Linked DNA regions of Arabidopsis thaliana. The protein of the gene in region 3 interacts with the protein of the main gene of each other region in a pairwise test. Each region holds a gene or a part of one and is shown on either strand. Other genes may lie near its edges. The genes, in order: AT2G19650, PPR2 and HAT2.

Region 1 (7,349 bases), on a different chromosome or scaffold from region 3:
TTCTCTTTTATCTTCCGTGTGTCCATCTCTTCCGGTGTCTATCTCGCCGGATCTCACGGCGGCTTTACTGTCAAAGGATAAAGTTAACGCCTTTGGTCTGATGGAACCGTGCTCTGTTTCGAATGAGAAAAGATCTGTGCGAGCTTATGGGATTTATCCAAAGACTTCGTTTTTCAATCATGATTGTCTTCCTAATGCTTGTAGATTCGATTATGTTGACTCTGCTTCTGATGGTAATACTGATATCATCATTAGGATGATTCATGATGTTCCTGAAGGTAGAGAAGTTTGTTTAAGCTACTTCCCTGTGAACATGAACTATTCGAGTAGACAAAAGAGATTGCTTGAGGATTACGGTTTTAAGTGTGACTGTGATCGGTGCAAAGTGGAATTTAGTTGGTCTGAAGGTGAGGAAGATGAGAATGAGATTATGGAAGAGATGGAGGATCAAGATGAACAAGAAGAGATGGAAGATTCAGTAGGTGAGAATGAAGAAGAAGTTTGTGGAAATGGTGTGGATGATGAATCTAATTTTCCTCATGCTTACTTTTTTGTGAGATATATGTGTGAGAAGGAGAATTGTTTTGGCACTCTAGCTCCGCTTCCCCCGAAGACTCATGATGCTTCGAGAGTTCTTGAATGTAATGTTTGTGGAAGCGTTAAGGAGGATGAAGTTGGCGTAAATCAATGAGGAAGGTTAGCTTAAAGAATTGATCAGCCGAAAATCTCAAGCTTGTTTGATGCAGCCAGACCCAAACAACAAGAGACTTGTCTTGGACCACATCGTTAATCAATGTTGTTTGTTGTTTGATGTTTACTTTTTTTTTTTTACTCAGTTTTGAAAATTCGATAAGTATTCTAGCTCTAGAATTCCATATCTAGGTTTTTTGTTTTCTCCTAGATAGTCTGAAGAATCAATTGTAATGGTCTGTGGAATTACACGGAAACAGTTTTGTTGTAATAATGGAGCATCAGTTTTCTTTGGTTGAATGAAAAATCATAATTTTTTTGACTTTTTAAGTTGAAAACTGCAGAATTACATGGCTTGATGATGTTTGCATTGTTAATCTCTATTACTCTTCAGTGTGCTCAGTGCCTGAAACCATAGCTTCCTTGATAGGGATCAATGTATTGGTAAACCAAATTGTGTAATAGTTTTTCCATAAAATAGATTCAATAGAACCAGTGTAACAAAAAATTATTAGGGGGCTCTGTTTTAAGGTCGCAACATGACGGTGACACAAACATTTTTTAGTGATTAACTTGTTCTCATTCTGTTCCAAGTTCAACAACACAAACTGAGTTTTTTGGCTTCTCTATCAGAGAACTAATGTGATTCTACAACACAACCTGCTCTGACTGACTTACTCTGCTATGTTCTGTTTTGCTCTGCTCTGTTCTCACTTCCACGTCTCTGTTTTTGTCATTGACATTTCGACTTGTAGGAACTTAAACATTTAGTGGATTGACTGGCAAGATTGATCCAACCTTTTCCAATCTTACATCCATAAATAAGTTGATATTTTTTCTGGTTTTTATTTGGCAAACACTAATGCACCCTAGGGTTCAATGAGATATATATATATTACACTAACACAAGTACACAACCAAATGTTATTGTAGGGACTTGTAATAATTTAACAGACCCAGATTCCTCACAAATTCTACCAAATTTGCGAGTCATTCAAGCTAGCAAACATTATCATCTATAAATAAATAGTTTTCTAAACATAGTAAAGAACATAATTTTAAAATTCGAAACGTTCCTGATAAATTTTCTTCTCACATTCTAAAGAACAAAAGTATAGATCAGCTCCGTCCTCGGGAAGCGTACGAACGAAAGGGAGCTTGCATCGAGAGTTGCACACGCAGCAAAGTGGTCTACAAATAGAGTGGTTGGATACAAATGTTCCTATCCATGTTAACGCTCCTGGCATGGAATATGCGTAAGTATCTATAACGCAGGAAATATGCAATGTGATCCCACACTCATTGCATGTATAGAACCATTTTTCTGGGTTCACAGTTGTTTCGCATGCTTCACACCAATATTTGCCAGCCACGCCCATTTCGCCATAAGATAAGAAGAGAGGATGATCGTCGTACCTATGCCTCATTACCTTTTGCGGTAAAATAGCACACTTGAAGCACAAACCAAATTCACAATCATCGCAACTCAATTTCCCGTCTCCATCACACTCACTACAACGTTTGGAGTGATCTGTAGAGTAGTGTAAAGGATGTTGATGGCTTTTGTGCTCAAATGGTTCTGTAACTGTAGCGCACCGTACATCTATCCTTAATTCCTTAGATTCATAGGAGAAACCGGTGAACAGTTGACGGCAAATACTACACCTATGTAACAAGTAGGTGCCATAATTTGGGGATAGTTCGAGTGGCTGGTTGTGGCACACATGACGTTTCTTTAAAGGAAGCTTGGCACATTTTTCGTGGATTATGAAATCGCATCTCTTTCTCGCGCAAGCGTAGAACGGTTCTGAACAAATCTGGAAGACACATGCGGTACAAACTACACTTTCTGGTAGATTCCAGCCACGGTAAATTCGTAAGTTATGCTTATGGCCGTAATGGTCTATCGTGTTGTCATCAATCACCTTGAATGGCGCAGTTTCCTCTTCTTCGGGTGTCCCTTCCAGTTCGATCATGTCCCATACATCCCTTCTGGTTGCGCATCTTGAATGAACAAAATAATCAAAACATTTGGAGCAAGAATAAGCCCCGTAGAACCCATCCACATTTTTACGACAAACTCTGCATTTCCCGTCTCCATGTCCGAGGCGAGGGGTGTAAGAGATGCGGTGGTCGTGGCGGTTGATGTTTATGACGCGAGGTAGATCGATACATTCCCGATGAATCATGAAATTGCACTGAAGACAGAAATAAGGGCTACGGTCACCTAGCGTCCCACAAGCATTGCAAGTGAAGTCAATGCGTCTTGGAACAAGGTGAAGTTGATGTTCATGGGTCCTCGGGCTTTTAACAAGAACCGGTGGTGGGTTTTTCATACATGATCTGCATATGCTAAAATTACAAACACCACAGTGGTGAAGCTGGCGATGGATTCCATCAAACTCCTCGCGGCAAAGAAGACATTTCTTGTCGGCGTAACCAGGGACTTCATATCTAAGTGACTTGAGTGGGTGTTGGGGGTGAGAAGTGTGGTATGCTTCTGGACTATTATGATCGATACAATCCAGACTGATGAAAAACTCGCATTGATGACATGTGTAGAAATGTTTCCAGCTATTATGTTGATGGCCACACCCTTTGCAATCTCTGAGTGTTTCGTGCGCTTCATGGGAGAGTTGGAGTGGATGCTCGTGTAGGTAGGAGTTTTCAGCAAGAACAAGTAGGGCTGGTCTCCTCGCGCAAATCAAATCCAACTGGAAATCACATTTGTTACAGCGATAACCGACACTGAAAAATTCTCCACAGAAACTACAATTAGAAACTCTGGTATGTAGGAGGATCAGCTTGAGAGGATGGACTGGATGGTAAGGGTGGTCGATTTCTGGTAACGGCTTGGCGCACTCTTCATGGAACACAACATCACATCCCGGCTCATTGCATCGGTGTCCTCCGTAAATGTAACTGCAACCGGGATGTTTGGAAATGAAGCTTGTATTATCTTCATCGGTCGAGTAGCATCCTTTACACTTGGTGAACTCGAAGCGTGTAAAAGGTATCAACGGATGCTCATGAAATGGTAACAATTTTTCAAGGCGGGATGCTTCTTCGTCCATGCCTTCATTAAACAAAGCTAGAAAGTTTTCCATGGTGATGTTTTCTTACTTCCACCAAAACACAAAGCTCTTCTCTTCTGCACTAGTTTCAGACTTGGTTTCTTGTTTTTCTCTCTTTCTTTTCTTTCAGGATTTTTTTTCAAGTGGTTTATCATTTTCAGACTTTGCAAATAGTTAATATGAATTCGCACCACAGAAATGATTCTTTTCATTACTGAGATTGAGACCACATGTGTTGGCTTCATCCTTGCATTATTTAATTAACTCAGACCACATATGTTGACTCTGCAACTATTGTGTCCGGCCAAAACATAAATAATTGAATGAATACAAAAAAGGTTTTTTCTTGCATTAAATGGAATAGAAGTTTATGGATAGAATAGTTTAGAATTTAAATGGATGGAACTGTACATTTTGTGGAAAAAACAGTTTGAAGTCTGAACCACACAACTCCTTGGCCAAGTAGCTTTGGAGGTAGACTTTGCTGCATTCAAGTCTCTGAAACCAAAGTTTTATTATTGTATTGCATCCACTAACTTTTATGTAATTTCAGACCAAAAGATTTGTATTTTTGTCTTTAAGACCAGGATTGGGCCAATCTTTGTTTTTTAATTTTTATACAGCCAAAAGTAAGTTCTATTTCCACCATCAGATTGTATAACCCATTTGAATAACACTATAAAGTTAACATATATATACCATCTGAAACATTCGAAGAATCATTTGTCAAATCACATGTATTCAAATCACTCAGAGCAAATTTTGATTAATAAAGAAGTTAAAAAGACATACTGCGTATACATGAGCTGCTCTTGCTTTAGCACAAAACAGAGACCAGATTCCAGTTCCAGCTCTAATGTCAAGAAACTTGTTCTTTTAAATATCCTGTTAAGAAATTCTGTTTCTAAGATCATTGAGACTGCTGCTGACTGGATTCAAAAGATTGATAATTGTGGAAAAAGCGCATAAGCTTGAGGTTAAAAAAAAACTATTGTAAAACATACTTTTGGAATTAAATGGTACAAAGTTTTTCTTCATTAAAACATGCCTTACCAATCACTACTAGAGTAGTTATTAGAGCGGTTGAAATTATAATAACAGTTTAAAGAACAAATGTATAAAACAACATCGGCTTTGGAAACGACCTTAACAATGGAAGGAAGCTTGCATTGAGAGTTACACACATAGCAAAATGGTCTACACATAGAGGTGTTGGATACCACCAAGTCTTCCTCCCATCCTATTTTGGAACCTGGCATATAATATGAGAAGTCTCCCACAACGCATGAAATATGCAATATGACACCACAATCATTGCATGTATAGAACCATTTCTTCGAATTCACTTTTGTTTCACATGCTTCACACCAGTATTCTCCATCCACACTACTTTCACCACACGACAAGTAAAGAGGATGATCGTCGTATCTATGCCACTTTACTTTCTGCGGTAAAAGAGCACACTTGAAGTCCAAACTATAGTCACACTCATCACAGCTAAAGCTTCCTATATCTAGATCCATGTTTTTGCCACATTCCGTACAAGACTTAGAACTACGTTTCGAAAAGTATAAGGGATGTTGATGGCTTTGGTGCACCAATGGTTCTCGAATTGAACCACATCGTACATCTAGAGTAACCATACGAGTAAGACACTCGTACCTGAAACCGGTGAAACTTTGCCAACAAAGATCACATGAAGTTTCGTCTGAAGTATCATTTGTGACTAGGGTAAATGGTAGGTTGTCGCAAACATGCCGTTTCTTCCGAGGCAGGTTAGCACATTTTTGGTGGAGAATGAAGTCACAATTCTCGCAACTGTAGAACGCATCTGAACAGATCTGGAAGACACATGCTTTACATAGTGTGCTTTCATGGAGAATCCTCCCATCCTTGTTGATTACTAAGTTATGATCATGGCTAAAATGTTTGATCGTGTTATCATCAATCACCTCGAATGGCGCATCTTCCTCTGGCTCTTCGGGTGTCCCTTCTAGCTCTATCATGTCCCATACATCCTCGTCCGTTGCGCATCTCGAGTGAACAACATAGTTAGAACATTTTGAGCAAGAATAACCCCCGTAGAAGCCATCAACCTTTTTACGACAAACCCCGCATGTATTTTGCCCATGTCCAAGACGACGAGTGTAGGAGATGCGATGATCGTGGCGGTTGATGTTTATGACGCGGGGCAAATCGATACACTCCCAATGAATCATGAAGTTGCATTGAAGACAGAAATAAGGGCTTTGATCAGCTTGAGTCCCGCAAGCATTGCAAGTGAAACCGAGAGGTTTTGAAAGAAGATAAAGTTGATGCTCATGGGTGGTCGGGCTTACAACACTAAGCGGCGGTGGGTTTTCCATACAGCCGCCACATATGGTAAAGTTACAAACATCACAGTGGTGAATTCGTCCGTCAAACTTATTCCCGCAAAGAAGACACTTGTTGTCGGCGTAATCGGGTGCTTCTTCACATCTAAGGAGCTTGAGTGGGTGTTGGGGGTGTAAAACGTGGCTAGCTTGTGGAAAAAGTTTGGTACACTCCACATGAAAGCGTAAATCGCATTTATTACATTTGTAATGAACAGCATCGAAAACTCCCCATTTGCATGTTTTGCAAAGTTGCACAAAACCGTCACGGGTTCCATCAGAGAGCTGAATCGGATGCTCGTGGACAGTGGATTCTTCAAGAATAAATTCCAAAGGCAACCTCGTCGCGCAACGAAAATCCAACTTGAAGTCACAAATCGAACAAAGATAACCATTTTCAAACGAAGATGGACACTGGCTACAAGAAGCAAGTGGTTCGACATTTATGAGGAGCTTTAGAGGATGGTCTGGATGAGAATAGTGGTTGATTTCTGGTAACGGGTCGGCACACTCTTTATGAAACACAGATTCACACCCCAACTCATTGCAATGGTAGCCTCCATATATGTAACCAACATACCCACACCCTTTACAAGCCTTGTAGGAAAAACGAGTAAAAGGTAACAGCGGATGGTTATGAATTGGTGGTACCTCTACTTTTTCCATGGTGATCCAAATCAAACCACAGATCTCTTTTGTGATGTTTTTCTTTTCTATTTTTGTTTCTATCGGATCTCTCAAAGTGGGCATATAACGATGAATAATCAAATAATGCATATGATCAAAATTAATGCCATACCACGTGAAATATTGATTATTGTTGCCACTGAGATCCAGCGTCCACGCCATGTGAAACAACTAAAGTCTGACCCAAGGCGATACTTCCAAGGCCTGACTATATCCAATTTTTAAAGTTTGTTATCGATCCTTCTCTACATCTGAATGAACTTGTTTGTAAGCGGTCAAATCAAATTGTAATTAGTTGTGTGATATATACACTATTGTCGTATTTGCTTAGGTTTCTTGAACCAAACGAATATTGTGGTCGAGAGGAACAAGAAACTATCATAGAGGAAGAGACGCACAGTGAGAGAGAAAGAGAGAGATGGTTAATATCTAATTCTGAAACATAAGCAGCAATAATGGAAACAGTAGAGATACAAATGAGATTTGTCCATCTCAGCCTCAAGATGATGAAAGGTACTTGTGGGGG
Region 2 (6,525 bases), on a different chromosome or scaffold from region 3:
GTCTAAAATTCTGTTTAAAATTAAATTGTCGGTTATCCTTTCTTAATCTAATCCTTTTTATAGCAAATAAAAATAACAAGTCTAACTAACACACTGGGAGCACAATTATTACGTCCTGGATCAACTATTTTATTACATTATATCGTGTTTGTAACCGACATTGATATTTATAAATAAGAATGTGGCAGTTAATTAGGAATAACCATCTTTTTTTTTGTCAAGGAATAACCGAATCTATATACAAATGAAATGAAAGAGCACAAAAATTCCAAAAAGAAGCTTTGATCCAAATAGTTTTGGACATGGATGGCATCGTAACATCCCCCCAAGAATATACTCGATCAATTATTGGTCTCCTTGTGAAATTTTGTTTTATTTGCTCCGAAATATTGAGTTTAGTTTGAGATGGTGCCAACGCGTCATTAATCACTATTGAACTAAAATAGAGGCATTAATTAAGTAGTTATAAACTCGTTGGAAACAGAAAAGTTTTAAATCCTCATGTTAGAAGTGATGATTAAGAAGGAATAAAATATGTAATCGGAACATAAAATGTGTATAAACAAAAGAGGCAAAATAAACTTGTAGAGAAGATTAACCATATGATGGATGGATATACATAAACAATATTCTAAAAATTGCGGTTTTCTTAAAAACCTTATCGCATAAAACACACAATCCAAGTCGTAGGGTACACGTTTACCGCCGCACCGACATTGCAATTTCTTTAGGTCTCATTTTACCACATCTCCCCAAACTTACGTGCTTCCACGAAAGTATCTATATTCTTTTCTTTTTTTATAGGGAAGAACAAAACGCAAAAAGAGTTTCGTGTGAATCATCATCACTTGGTCTTATTATTATTGCCATAGTTGGATTATACATAATTTACAAAGTCAAATGTCTTTCTTTTTTTTAGCTTTTCTGTACAATGTCAGCTAACAACAACAATAACAGTAACAACAAGAGCTGACGTTATTCACAAACATAGGAATCAAACAAATGGATTATTCAGAGTGCGCTTCGATTTCGATATGAAGCGACAAATCTTTTGTTAGCCGAAAGTTTTCTCGGTGCTGTAGCACATGTACAAGAACCCGTCTTCTTCCTTGAAAGTATTGTAGAGAGAGTCCATGCGACTAGCTGCATAATTCAAGACAAGTGTTAATGGAAAGCTTTGGAAAACTGCAGGTAAAGTCTCACTCTACATGGATGATGATACTTCTTATCTTACCGGTTTGAGGAAGAGTGTTGTGTACGAAAACAAAGAGAGCTTTGGATGGATCTAACTGCATCCTTTTGCTTAGCATATGGATGAAATGTCCAACAGTCATGTCTCGTGGGACCAAGTATCTACAATAAACAAATGCGGGATACAGAGTTAAAAACAAGATTATTCACAGTTAGACAGGTTACACTTGGTTTGGTCCAACAGCTAAATTGATGTCACAACTCACTTGTTCTTCTCCATGTCTGGCAGATCTGCGTTTGAATATTTCTCAATGATCACCTACATAAGTAAATAAAACCCATCCATAAATGCTGGAATCTGATGAAGAAACCAAACCAAGAACAGATCCAAATCCCTAAATCAAATTGGTTTGGGTTGTTGTTGGTGATAGATCAAATCTCAACTAAAGAAGTCGTCTCCGACATTGACCAGAGTGATTGGATCAACACCAAACCGCACAAAATCAGTCAAATTTCAGATCCCAGATCGTATCCATCAAACCATGGCGAAGAAATTCTAAGATTGAAACAGAGATTCTAGCAAATTCGAGAGATGCAAGTCAAACGAAGACTTTTTTTTAATTGAGTAAATCATTCGAACCCTAAGGAAATCCACAATCGCACGGCAACTAAGACGGAAACACCAAGAAACAAATCAAACATGAAATTTATGAAATAACTTACAGGTATTCTATCTGGATATTTCGCAATGATGTTGTTCGACTCCTTCAATCTCTCATCTATATCCTCAAACAAAGATGAAAACTTTGCTTCAGAAGCACATTTCGAAGGAAAAAAAATTCCAAAGAATCAGAAAGAGATTAACGAAGAACAAACCAGAGGAGAATTGATCCTTGAAAGACTTGACAACAATCCCCATTACAGATTTCACGACGAATGATTCCTGACCGAATCGGTGTTTTTTTGTTTGCAGAGAGCAGAGGAAGAGGATGTGTTCAATTTTATGTTTGGTTAGTTCGTTTTTGATTGTTCGAGAAGAAACGGTAAAAGATGAGAGAAAAGAGATTATTTATAGAAAGACGACACGCACTTATCCACTTTTTGGACTTGTCCGATTTCTTGTGCACGTCACAGTTTATCTATGGGCCTCTATTCATAATTTTGGGCCCATCAAAATATATAACACGCATAGCTGCAAGAACAATCAAGTGTATTACAAACTCTTTTATTCTACTCTTTCAAGTGAGACATCGATCTCTCCTTGCAGAGAGAGAGAGAGAGAGATTCACACACAAACCGCAATCATCCTGCCGGAAGATTCTCCATCTCTTTTGTAGCAACAGTGCGATCCATAAGCTTTTGCCTCTCTTGTTCCAAGTAATAGATCTTATCATTCATACCTTCTTTTTCATACGCCTCGACCATGATCTCAAACGTTCTTGAATCGCATACGCATTGTCTCTCCTTCATTCTTATGTACACTCTTTCCATCTCTATCAGATCATCTGCTTTAGCACACGCTGATATCACCGCGTTGTAAAAGGCAGTATTCTCGGGTATCTCAAACTTAGCAGCCAACTGAACACTACTTATCACCTTGTGGAAAAGACCGGCATTGGCATATCCGTTTATGAGACAGCAAAAGGTCTTTGTGTCTGCTTTCATACCTTCGCTACGCATCTGATCAAATGTCAACTCCATGTTCTTTGCATCACCAACATCCGCAAACGCCTCGATGATATTGTTGTAGGTTGATGTTGTCCACGGAAACTCTAGCTTTCGCATGTATTCCATGACAGACGACATCTTATCATACATTCTCTTCTTCCCATAAGAACCAATCAAAATATTGAAAGTCCGAGTCTCTGGCTCAATCCCAAAGTTCCTGAACTTTTCGTACCAGCTCTCCATCATGTCTATCTTACCCATGTTTCCAAACACACTAAGGATGATATTCATAGTCCACACATCGGGTTTGCAAGCAGTACTCACCAACATATCAGACAAAACTTTCTCCATCTGATCAAACCTTCCGACCCTACCGTACCCACTTAAAACTATGTTCTGGGTCACAGTGTTTGGAGTTATCAAACGCTCGTCCATTTCCTTGTATAACGAATCCACCAAGTCAAACTGAGAAGCATCCACACAAGCCTTGAGCAGAGTGCTGTACGTGAAAACATCAGGTTGGCATTGAGGAAAGCTTTTCATTTTATCAAGAATTGAAAAAGCATCGTCGATGAGATTGCTGCGAGTGTAAGCAGCGAGAAGAGCAGTGTAGAGTTCAACAGTTGGTTCAAGTCCTTCTTCAAGCATTTCGTCGAACAGCTTCTGTGCACGATTGGGTTGACCAGATTTACCGAGAAGAACAAGCAGCTTCATGTAAGTTCCTTCCTTTGGTTGATAAAATGTTTGTTCCCTCAACATATCAAAAACCTAAGATCATCAACAAAATACCCAATTCAATCAAAATCATCTTTCAGCTAAATTATACTCGTGATTCAAAATTGAGTTCAAATTCAATCAAACATGAACGAGAAGAGAGAAAATCGAAATACCTCGAGAGCTTGTAACCACTGCTTTTTGGCGATGAGATCGGACAAAGTTTCAGTGACGGTGTTAACCCATCCGTTAGCTTTGCTTCTCCTGTCAAGTTTCTTCTTCACATTCTTTATCGGAGTTCTTCTCTGATTAACCGGCTCCGTGATTCCGGGGAATTCGCCGTCTTTCCAAAGCCTCTTCTTCGTAACACTTCCCGGAGAAGATTTCGAAGCAGCCAAAACGCATCTAACGATGCCCACATCTCTGTGACGAAACCTACGCTTACCTTCGGGGATTCTGGATGAACATAGCGAAGAAGAAAAGGAGAGAGACATTGACGCCATCGTCTTCTTCCTTCACACCTCACTGTCACTCTGTTTACGGATAATTCCCGTCGATACTCATTTCGGTTGGATATGGTAAAATACCGGTTTATATAACCGAACCGGAAACACATTTGATCCGTTCAAATCCCTTAAAAACCGGATCGTATTTTTAAATATGATCACATAATTGATCATTTAAAAATAATACGAGGCTATTTTTTTGGTGTTCAAAAAGATAAAAATAATAATATGAAGCTCGCATCTCTGTAAGTATATATATATATAAAACTAAAAGGAAAATCACGAATTATAGTATCAAAAATAGATTTAATAATAAAAATAAGGATTGGTGACTGGTGCACAAAAGGTGGTAACAAACAAACACAATCTTGACTAAATTCTATAGAAATATCCCAAAGAAAAAAAAAACAAATCCAGAAAAATATTGTATATTGATTTTGATGATGTCGATGTTGATGTGCAGATATTACTCTTTTATCTATTGCTTCCGTTGGAGTTTAGTTTTGTGGCAACAGTCTATTGTATGACTATCTGGGGATTTGGGAGTTTATCCGGCCGGCAAGCATACATTCATTGGTGTTGTTTGCAACGTTTACAACATTGTTATCATCTATCTTTTATTTACCATAGTAAGCTCTCTCTCTCTCTCTGGCTCTCACTTATTGATGAATATATAGATAAGTAAACTATTAAACTGGTTTTGATAAGTTTTTAATGCGTGAAACAATTAGGACAAAATGCCGCCGGAGACTAAGACCTTCAAGTACATGCCGTTTTGGCTATCGTTAGTTCGTTTCATCAACGCTGGAATTTGGACTGCTTATTCTTTGATCTACATAATTGATATCTACGTCCTTGTAAGTCCTTTTTTGTTTTTGTTTTGATCTACATAATTGATATCCTTTTTTGTTTTTGTAAGAAGGGCGAGCTAAAGAGTTTGAAGAGCTTAAAGGCGAGCTGAAGAGCTTAAGGCGAGCTGAAGAGCTTGAAGACGAGTTGGAGAGCTTGAAGACGAGCTGGGGGACTTGGTGAAGAGAACGAGTTGATAAGCTTGACGAAGAGGAGCGAGCTAACGAGCTTCTTGAGAAGGGCTCGCTGACGAGCTACTTGAGAAGGACGAGCTGACGAGCTATTTGAGACGGACGATCTTCGTGAGACGGGCGAGCTGACAATGTGCTGTCTCGGTGATAGTCAAGCGAGACGACACGTAGTCCATATTAGAAAGGGGTCAAGCCACACGTAGTTCATATTAGAATAAGTGAGCTAGGCCGTCATTGGAGGTAGGTCGGCAGGTAGTTGACGAGCCGGCAGATGTGCGACAAGCTGGATGAACCGTGGTAGAGAGACGAGTTGGATAAACCGAGTTGTTTGCTGAAGGTCTAGACGAGCTGGACGACGAGATAGGTGGACTATGCAGTCAATGGACGAACTGCCGCTAGGCGAGGAGGTAGATGAGTTTTGTTTTCGAGGGATGAGCTGATAGCTAGACGAGGAGTTGGACGAGCTGTATAGATGACAGCTAGACGAGGAGATGGTCGTTGAGTGGAGCATGAAGACGAGCTGAGAAGCTTGAAGACGAGTTGAGGAGCTTGAAGACGAGCTTAGCAGCTTGTTGAGCTTAATGGCGATCTGAAGAGTTTGAAGAGCTTAAAGACGAGTTGGAGAGCTTGAAGACGAGCTGAGGGACTTGGTGAAGAGAACGAGTTGATAAGCTTGTCGAAGAGGAGCGAGCTAACGAGCTTCTTGAGAAGGGCTCGCTGACGAGCTACTTGAGAAAGGCGAGCTACTCTGTGTCTGCGTGTCAGGCGGAATTCCCCCCTTCGACATGACATGCTATTCCGTATTTATAGCACTACGCGTGTAGGGCATTCATCGAGGGATTTGACGAAACTACCCTTCGCCTTAATACTCCTCCTTGGTTTGGAACTTATTTTGGGCTTTTGACTTGGGTTTGGGCATTGGGCCAAGTAGGCCCAATCCGACCCCTAATAGTTCGGCAAGGAGGAGTATATGATTTTAACCCCCCCCCCCATTAAATCTCCTGATACGTATTGAAACTTGAGGGTTTATGGTTTATGTTATGTTTCACTTATTTTGATCGTGTGTTGAGTTTTGTAATGAGGATATTATTATCATGTCTGTTACTTTTGGACTTGTTAAATTTTCGTAAACGTTGTTGCTTTTGTTGTATCGGGGCACACTTATCCGGATTTATCGATTATGCAATTGCCCTACTACATCACATTATTATTTAAATTTGTCTTCAAGTTTTTATTTCGCATAGCACATATATAAAGAAAACGCTTCGTTCAAACTCGTCTGTGAACTCCATAAAACTTATTAAAAAATCCGTCCAAAAAAATATATAGTATAGTTTGGATCGCATGAAAACATATCTAAACATAAGTCTTTGTTAGGGGTCGGATTGGGCCCTTCTCAAGTAGTT
Region 3 (6,699 bases):
TTATATGAATAATAAAAGCATACTATCTGAATAAATTGAATTAATCAATAGAGAAACGACTCATGAGATCTTCATCACCAGTTTTCTTCAAGGCTTCAATGATTTTCTCAACATGAGAAACTTTCAATCTCATTTTCTTGTCAAGCATTGATTTCGCAAGCTTAGCAGCTTCCCAAGAATTCCCCTGTTGGCAGAGACCGAGCAAAAGAACCGCATGTATATCCGAGTCTATTGTTGATTTCACATCCTTCTTCTCGATTTCTTGATACAGAAGGAAACAATCGAGATACCTTTCCAACAAACATAACTCCCTGAAAACATGACTGCACGCAAGACCATCAGGTCTAACCCCGCGGACCAACATCAGACGGAAAATCTTTTCAGCCTCTTCCCATCTTTTCATACGGATTAGCGACACAGTAGCCGAACTAAAACACTCAGAAAGAGAAACACCGCCTAGTTTCACCAACTTATCAATCAACTTAGAAAGAGCCTTCACATCCTCATCATTCTCCAAAACCCCCTGAATCAAAACACAAGCAGTAACACGATTCGGCATGCACCCTCGGTTTCCCATTCTATCCAATACCAACAACGCCTCTTCAACCCTCCTCTTCTCACAAAACGCTTGAATCACCAAAGTATAAGTAACCGCATTCGGACTAATCAATCCACCACCGTCTTCTTTCTCCATCTCCGCCAACAACTCTAACGCTCTCTCCATATCACCAGACTTGCAAACTCCTTCAAGAATCCTAGAATACGTCACACTGTTAAGCACGCAATCATGCTTACTCATCTCCTTAGCTAACCTCCAAGCGTCATCAATCTTACCCGCATTGCAATACCCATTGATCATCGACGTATAAGTAATCACATCTGGATAAAGACCAACACAATCCATCTCTTTTATCAACATATCAGCTATATTCAAATCTCCCTTATCAGCAAACAACCTAATCACCAAATTATACGCAACAGTGTCTGCACATACATTAAATTCAGGAAACTTCCTTAATACCCACAATGCCTCATCAGCGAGATTCGCTTGATTACACAGAGTCAGAACAATCCTCATCGTCTTAACATTAACAAAGCATTCTTCTTTCCGATAAGATTCAATAACGTATTTGATCAAATCTGGCTTTGCTCTAATCTTAAGAATGTCGCAAGCTTTGGTATACATGTAAGCACTGTGTCTATGGCTGGATAGAGTTCCTGCCCATATGAAAAACCTAAGACCCGATTGAAATTGATTTGGATCGCATCTTCTTAGTACCTCGTTGATACAAGAGGAGTCTAATTGTACATTAGCCGAAGCTAATTCTTTCTCGAGATTACTTGTGCATCCTTGAAGCTGGCCGTATAATCTCTCGGCGGCTGAGACAGTTGTTAAAAAACGTAAAGCTGAGATTTTTGAGGGCTGAGATCGTAATGAAGGAGATACCAGACGAGAAATCAATGAATTTGGCATCTGGGTCGCTATAAGTGTAGCGATTGATGAAAGATTTCGTTAAGAAAATCGTAAGAATGAGACTTGAGTGAGAGAAATAGGAGAGTTTCGCTTTCGCAGATGGAAACGACGACGAAAGACTAAACGTATGGGCCGACATAATAATGTAGCCCATTAAGACCCAATAAGAATTGCTCATACATCTTTGTCAGATCTGAATCGGAAAAGCAATTGAAGTCAGATTAGGTCACAAGATTTCATGATTTCGTTAAGAACTTCAAATAAGCTACACTTCTTTTTCTTTTCTTTTTTGAGCAACTGCATATAAGCTACACTTATACCATGCTCAGAAACTGTGTATTTATCTAGAAGACGTTTGTGAATTTTTGGTTTAATTTAGAACTCTTGTAAGATATCAAAAAAAGATAGTTTCATAATTTTTGGTTAATATAGCAAGTTTGTAACTAATTTTTGCTAATTTAAATCTTTTTAAGGTTGCATCATACATAGGACTAGTTCATGAGAAGGCCAATCATCCAAAATTACAATGACCCCACACAGATAGACTATATAACGATAACGAAAAATACCAAAACACCCTTTTCCCACCACTAAAATAAAAAATCACGATCGTGGACGCAAGGCTTCAAAATTCAGCCCATGAGCCACCTGACCAGCACAAGCAACCCACGGATTGATAGAAACGGGCCTGTGATTGTGGTGATGGTTCGATGATGATGGGCCACCCACACGCTCGCACGAAGGACACATGATGAGTGTAGTTGGTGGAGTCATCTGACCGTAGAATTGTGGAGACAGCTTGAGAGTTCGAAGCTCCATAGCCTCTTTCTGAAGTCTCCGGTTCTCTTCCGTTAGCTTCTCTACGCACCGTTTCAAGTATTCGCAATCTACCTCCGTTTGCTTTAACTTGGTTCTGTAAAACCAAATCGGACCTTGTAAGTAAAAACTTCTACACAAGGGGGTATAAATGTAATTTTACAATTTTGGTGTTAAGACAAGAAAATCTCACCTAGCTCTTCTGTTTTGGAACCACACTTCCACTTGTCTTGCCGTCAAGTTCAGCTTCTTAGCCAAAGCTAGCTTCTGTTTCTGTAAATTATGATAATAACCTTGGTTATTTCAAAGTAATTACGATAATTATCATTTGATTCCTCTGACTTTTTTACACTTACGGGATTGAGAGTGTTGTGTTCTTTGAAAGTCTCTTCGAGAAAAGCAGACTGATCTTTTGATAACCTGAGCTTCTTCCTCGACGTTTCGCCCCCGTCTTCTTCTTCATCTGAGGTTCCACGTGAGTACCCTCGATCCGGAGTGATCTCGTCGTGATCGTCGCCGGAGCCAACGCCGGTTCCGGAGATTCCTTCTCTCTCACTTCTCTTCCCGCTAATGGTGCTTGAGATCGTACTGTTTGGTGACGAAACTCCTGTGTCTTCCTCGCAGTTAACCGTTGATGGAAAACTGTTCACGTCTATCTTGCGAAGATCTGCAAAGAGCAATCAAATTTTAAGTTTGAGATCTGTTTTTATTTTACTTGGAAACGAAGAAAAGTCTCATACTTCAATTCTGAAATCTGTTCTGTTTCTTTAAAAAAAAAAACAGAGAAGATTTAAGTATATACCTGATGTAGGATCGAATGTTTGGTTCCATGGGAGTCTCTGGAGATTGTTTGATAATGAAGAGTTAGGATTCAGATTCATCTGAAGAGGATTGTGATTTTGTGAAAACCCTAAGCTTAGGCTCAAACCTAGATCTTCTTTGCCCATCATCATGTTTTTTATTTCCTTTCACAAGAACTCAACAGTTTCAGGAATTATATTTCCTTATGAGAATAGAGAAAGAAAGAACACGAAATGGTTTGTTCTTTCTGAGATAGAGATGAGAAATGGTGTTTGTTTCAACTCGAAGTTAGGACTCTTTGTGGAAGAGAAATAGAGAGAGATGTGAGATGGTAATGAAGAAGAGAGGGGATTAATATAGTACTTTGAATGATGAGAGATTTTGTCAGGTGGCTAATTACAATCCATCATTATTGTTTCTTTGTTTTTGGACTTGTATTACTTTATCTCCAACTTGTGTCCCCCCTTTGGCCTTTGCCATGTCTTTCTTTTTGTACTTTCTCAATATTTGTGTTTTTCTTTTTCTTTCACAAACATTTTTAGTTTATTCCTTACAAGAACCCATGCATAATAAGATGGCAGTTTGTCCAAAACAAATAAGATGGCCAATATGTTTTCAAGTGTACACATGTATATGTGTTTTGTGTCTGAAGATTTAAAGCCAATGTCTTTAAAACCAATAGAAATGTCCGGACCACTCTGAGAAAGTAATCTACAATTAAGTGAATCATCAAGGTGCGATGTTTTTTGTATATGGATAACGCAATTTGCACTACTTGTGTTAATTTTCATGATCCATATCATGTAGTATGTCTCAAAGTTGATAAATACAATAATTCTCGTACTTCGTTTTGTCTTAATCAAGTACACGTCATTATACTCAAAGTACATGTATTATGTGGATATCAATAAAAGAAAGTATAGAAAATAGTATCTTGATTAGTTACGGCATACCGAGCTGAGTCAAATCTCCAATAGTGTAGCCAATTATTTGTCCAAATATTTTTTAAAGAGAAAAGGGAAAATAGTATTTGAGGTTGGATATAATGGAATATTGACTAATTGGAGTGGTTGGTACAAAACACAATCAAAAAGAATCTGAACTTGTTCAAAGTTGTGGACCAACCAACGGTTATGAACCAATGATATACGTGTGAGATGAATATTTGCACATAAATATCATCATCATGGTTTCTACTTTCATCAACAATGACATTTTAAAGCTACTACTTTTTTTCGTTTCTTCCGTCAGTAAAACCTTTAAATGTTTGTGCTTTTTCCTTTAGAAATAAAAATTTAAATGTGAGCAATATTGGTCAAGTGTGTGTAAATGTATAACCACTTTGCGTACAGTAACATGGAGATAGGAGCATGTGGGTCATAACAGCGTGATCGTGCGTGTTGTGTTGTTTCCTCACTCGCCTGCTCCTTATCATGTGTAACCATCCGCCTCAATCAATGCTAACTTGTTAATTATTTGATTCCTTTAACTGCTGCCTACTTTTTTATCGTCTAATATTCCTTTCTTTTCACAAAAACTAGTTGTAGACTAACTTCAGTTTTTGTAAATAGTTGTTTTACAATGCCTGAAGCATGTAAACTTAATTGTTCTAGTAAACTACTAGTGATCGTTGCATAATCATAATTCACAATCCAAATAAAAGTGTCATTAGTGTATATGTAAACAATAAAAAAATGATGGTTTGGATATACTTTTGTAAATATATTTCATGTTTATTTAGAAAAAAATAACATGTAAACTAAAATTCCAAAAACAATTTAATAATTTCCGCCTAACGTAGACATGTATATAGTGAAATTATGAAGAGATACGGCAATGAGCGACAATAATTGAGAGCAAAAAGATGGGTTTCGTGGTGAGAGATATTATGAAAAGTGGGACCCAACGCTTTACATAAGATCCGACAAGATGTCGGAGTTGTGTTTCAGTGTGATCTGGCTGTCCCACGTGTTCACTCTGACTTGTGCCACACGCACTGACCAAGTGCGTTATATCCACGCGCGCATGTTTATTTGTAATCATTTACCCCTCAACGAAAAAGAGAGTCCGCAAAGCATGATGATTGATGATCAATCATTTATTAGTGATCCTCCAATAGCTTTTATGTAAGTATTGGCAAAAACATCGAGTGTTCTTGGTGTTGAGGTTCGAGCATGTCTAAGTTTGAGTTCGGCACCAAGGTAATATATATATCGGATTCAAATTTGGTCTACTAGTCTAACTTTTAGCACTTAATTGAGCATGACCGCGGATCTTGCACTAGGGTGAAACAATTCTTAACGAGAACATATTCAAGTAGCATAGCTTAAATGAGAATTTCATGTTCTATCCGTAATGGTGAATGGCTTAAATTTCTGCATTTAGCCCCTACTAGCACTTTGGTATCGTTAATTTGTAGATATAGCAAATTGAGATATGGCGTCCAAACAGCAACTTGTTATTTCACATTATTCCGATTTTTTCAGTAGAGCCTCGTCTATTTGGAGGTAGTGCAGAAGGGTATGAGCATTCTCTTACAGTCTTACCTTAGTTTCTCAATTTACATGATAAGTGAAATATTGAATTGAATACACCATTTCGATTACTTAGTTTCCTTCGGAAATAAAATATATATATATTATTTGAAATAAAAGCTGCAGGCCTACATCACAGATCCAAATCCAAAGTTGAGTACCACAACACAAAACAAAATCATAGGCAACGGAATATTTTAAAAGTATGTGTTGTAATCATTTTATATGTTTGGCAATTGCGTAGGACTAATAATCATGGTTTTAGTTGCTTAATCATATGTTTCATGCATGTGTATATTAGCTTTGAATGTTCTTTACAGCATTTTGGCTGTAGAACGAGGTCATCATTGGGGATATTTTATACTCTCTGTTTTTTCCTTAACCTAACTAACCAATTATTCTCTAAACAAATAGTACATTAGATTTTGTCTAATTGTCCTCTCACATGTACTGAGATCTGTTAACTGGAATATTTGATTATTTTTTAGATTTAGGAAAAATCAATCAACATGCATAATTATGATCATCACACAAAGCAGCTTATTCTTATTCTAGAGAAGCTCGGAATTTGAGGTTTGCATCACATGATTGTTGGACTCTTATAGTATTTTAAAAATAAACACTAAGCTTTAATTATTAACGAAAATGCGTATGTGACAGTTTTGATTATTTTTTGACGTTAAAATTGAGGCTTGTTATTACTAATGGTAATAATATGATCGATCATTGAGATTCCCATGCCAAAAATAAAGATAGGGATTATAATTTCTTCAATGATTTTGTTTAAAGTCATAATTTCTTCAATGATTATAAGGATAAAAAATGAAAATCATATTGGAGAATCTTGAGAGAGAGCTTCGAAAGTTGGGTGGTGCGTAAAATCTTATGGGCTACCCATGTGGAATTGACGTGGCGCACATATTCTTATGCGACCCAAAACCACCCACTCCAGCGAAGCACACGTGTGTGTAGTGACACCCGCACGTGCATTCCCCACTTACATATAGATTTCCAGTCAACGGTCAAACATCCGTCTCTTATTTTTCTACTCACAAGAATAAACGAAATGTTTGT

What was found.
Region 1: the proteins of HAT2 (region 3) and AT2G19650 interact in a two-hybrid assay, tested with the Arabidopsis thaliana proteins (one large-scale study listed by BioGRID).
Region 2: the proteins of HAT2 (region 3) and PPR2 interact in a two-hybrid assay, tested with the Arabidopsis thaliana proteins (one large-scale study listed by BioGRID).

Annotation. Positions count from the first base shown.
Region 1 is NC_003071.7:8,491,907-8,499,255, forward strand, and holds AT2G19650 (Cysteine/Histidine-rich C1 domain family protein), read right to left. Parts: upstream 3,987-7,349; 5' UTR 3,798-3,986; coding exon 1,749-3,797; 3' UTR 1,563-1,748; downstream 1-1,562. Other genes in the region: ASHR2 (ASH1-related protein 2), read left to right, coding at 1-691; AT2G19660 (Cysteine/Histidine-rich C1 domain family protein), read right to left, coding at 4,814-6,886.
Region 2 is NC_003074.8:1,954,165-1,960,689, forward strand, and holds PPR2 (Tetratricopeptide repeat (TPR)-like superfamily protein), read right to left. Parts: upstream 4,141-6,525; 5' UTR 4,077-4,140; coding exon 3,750-4,076; intron 3,628-3,749; coding exon 2,494-3,627; 3' UTR 2,245-2,493; downstream 1-2,244. Other genes in the region: ATG8H (Ubiquitin-like superfamily protein), read right to left, coding at 1,055-1,143, 1,235-1,353, 1,458-1,510, 1,915-1,970, 2,068-2,110.
Region 3 is NC_003076.8:19,214,405-19,221,103, forward strand, and holds HAT2 (Homeobox-leucine zipper protein 4 (HB-4) / HD-ZIP protein), read right to left. Parts: upstream 3,604-6,699; 5' UTR 3,244-3,603; coding exon 3,093-3,243; intron 2,958-3,092; coding exon 2,647-2,957; intron 2,564-2,646; coding exon 2,484-2,563; intron 2,388-2,483; coding exon 2,078-2,387; 3' UTR 1,867-2,077; downstream 1-1,866. Other genes in the region: AT5G47360 (Tetratricopeptide repeat (TPR)-like superfamily protein), read right to left, coding at 41-1,474. UniProt on the Arabidopsis thaliana protein: Probable transcription factor that plays a role in auxin-mediated morphogenesis. Negatively regulates lateral root elongation.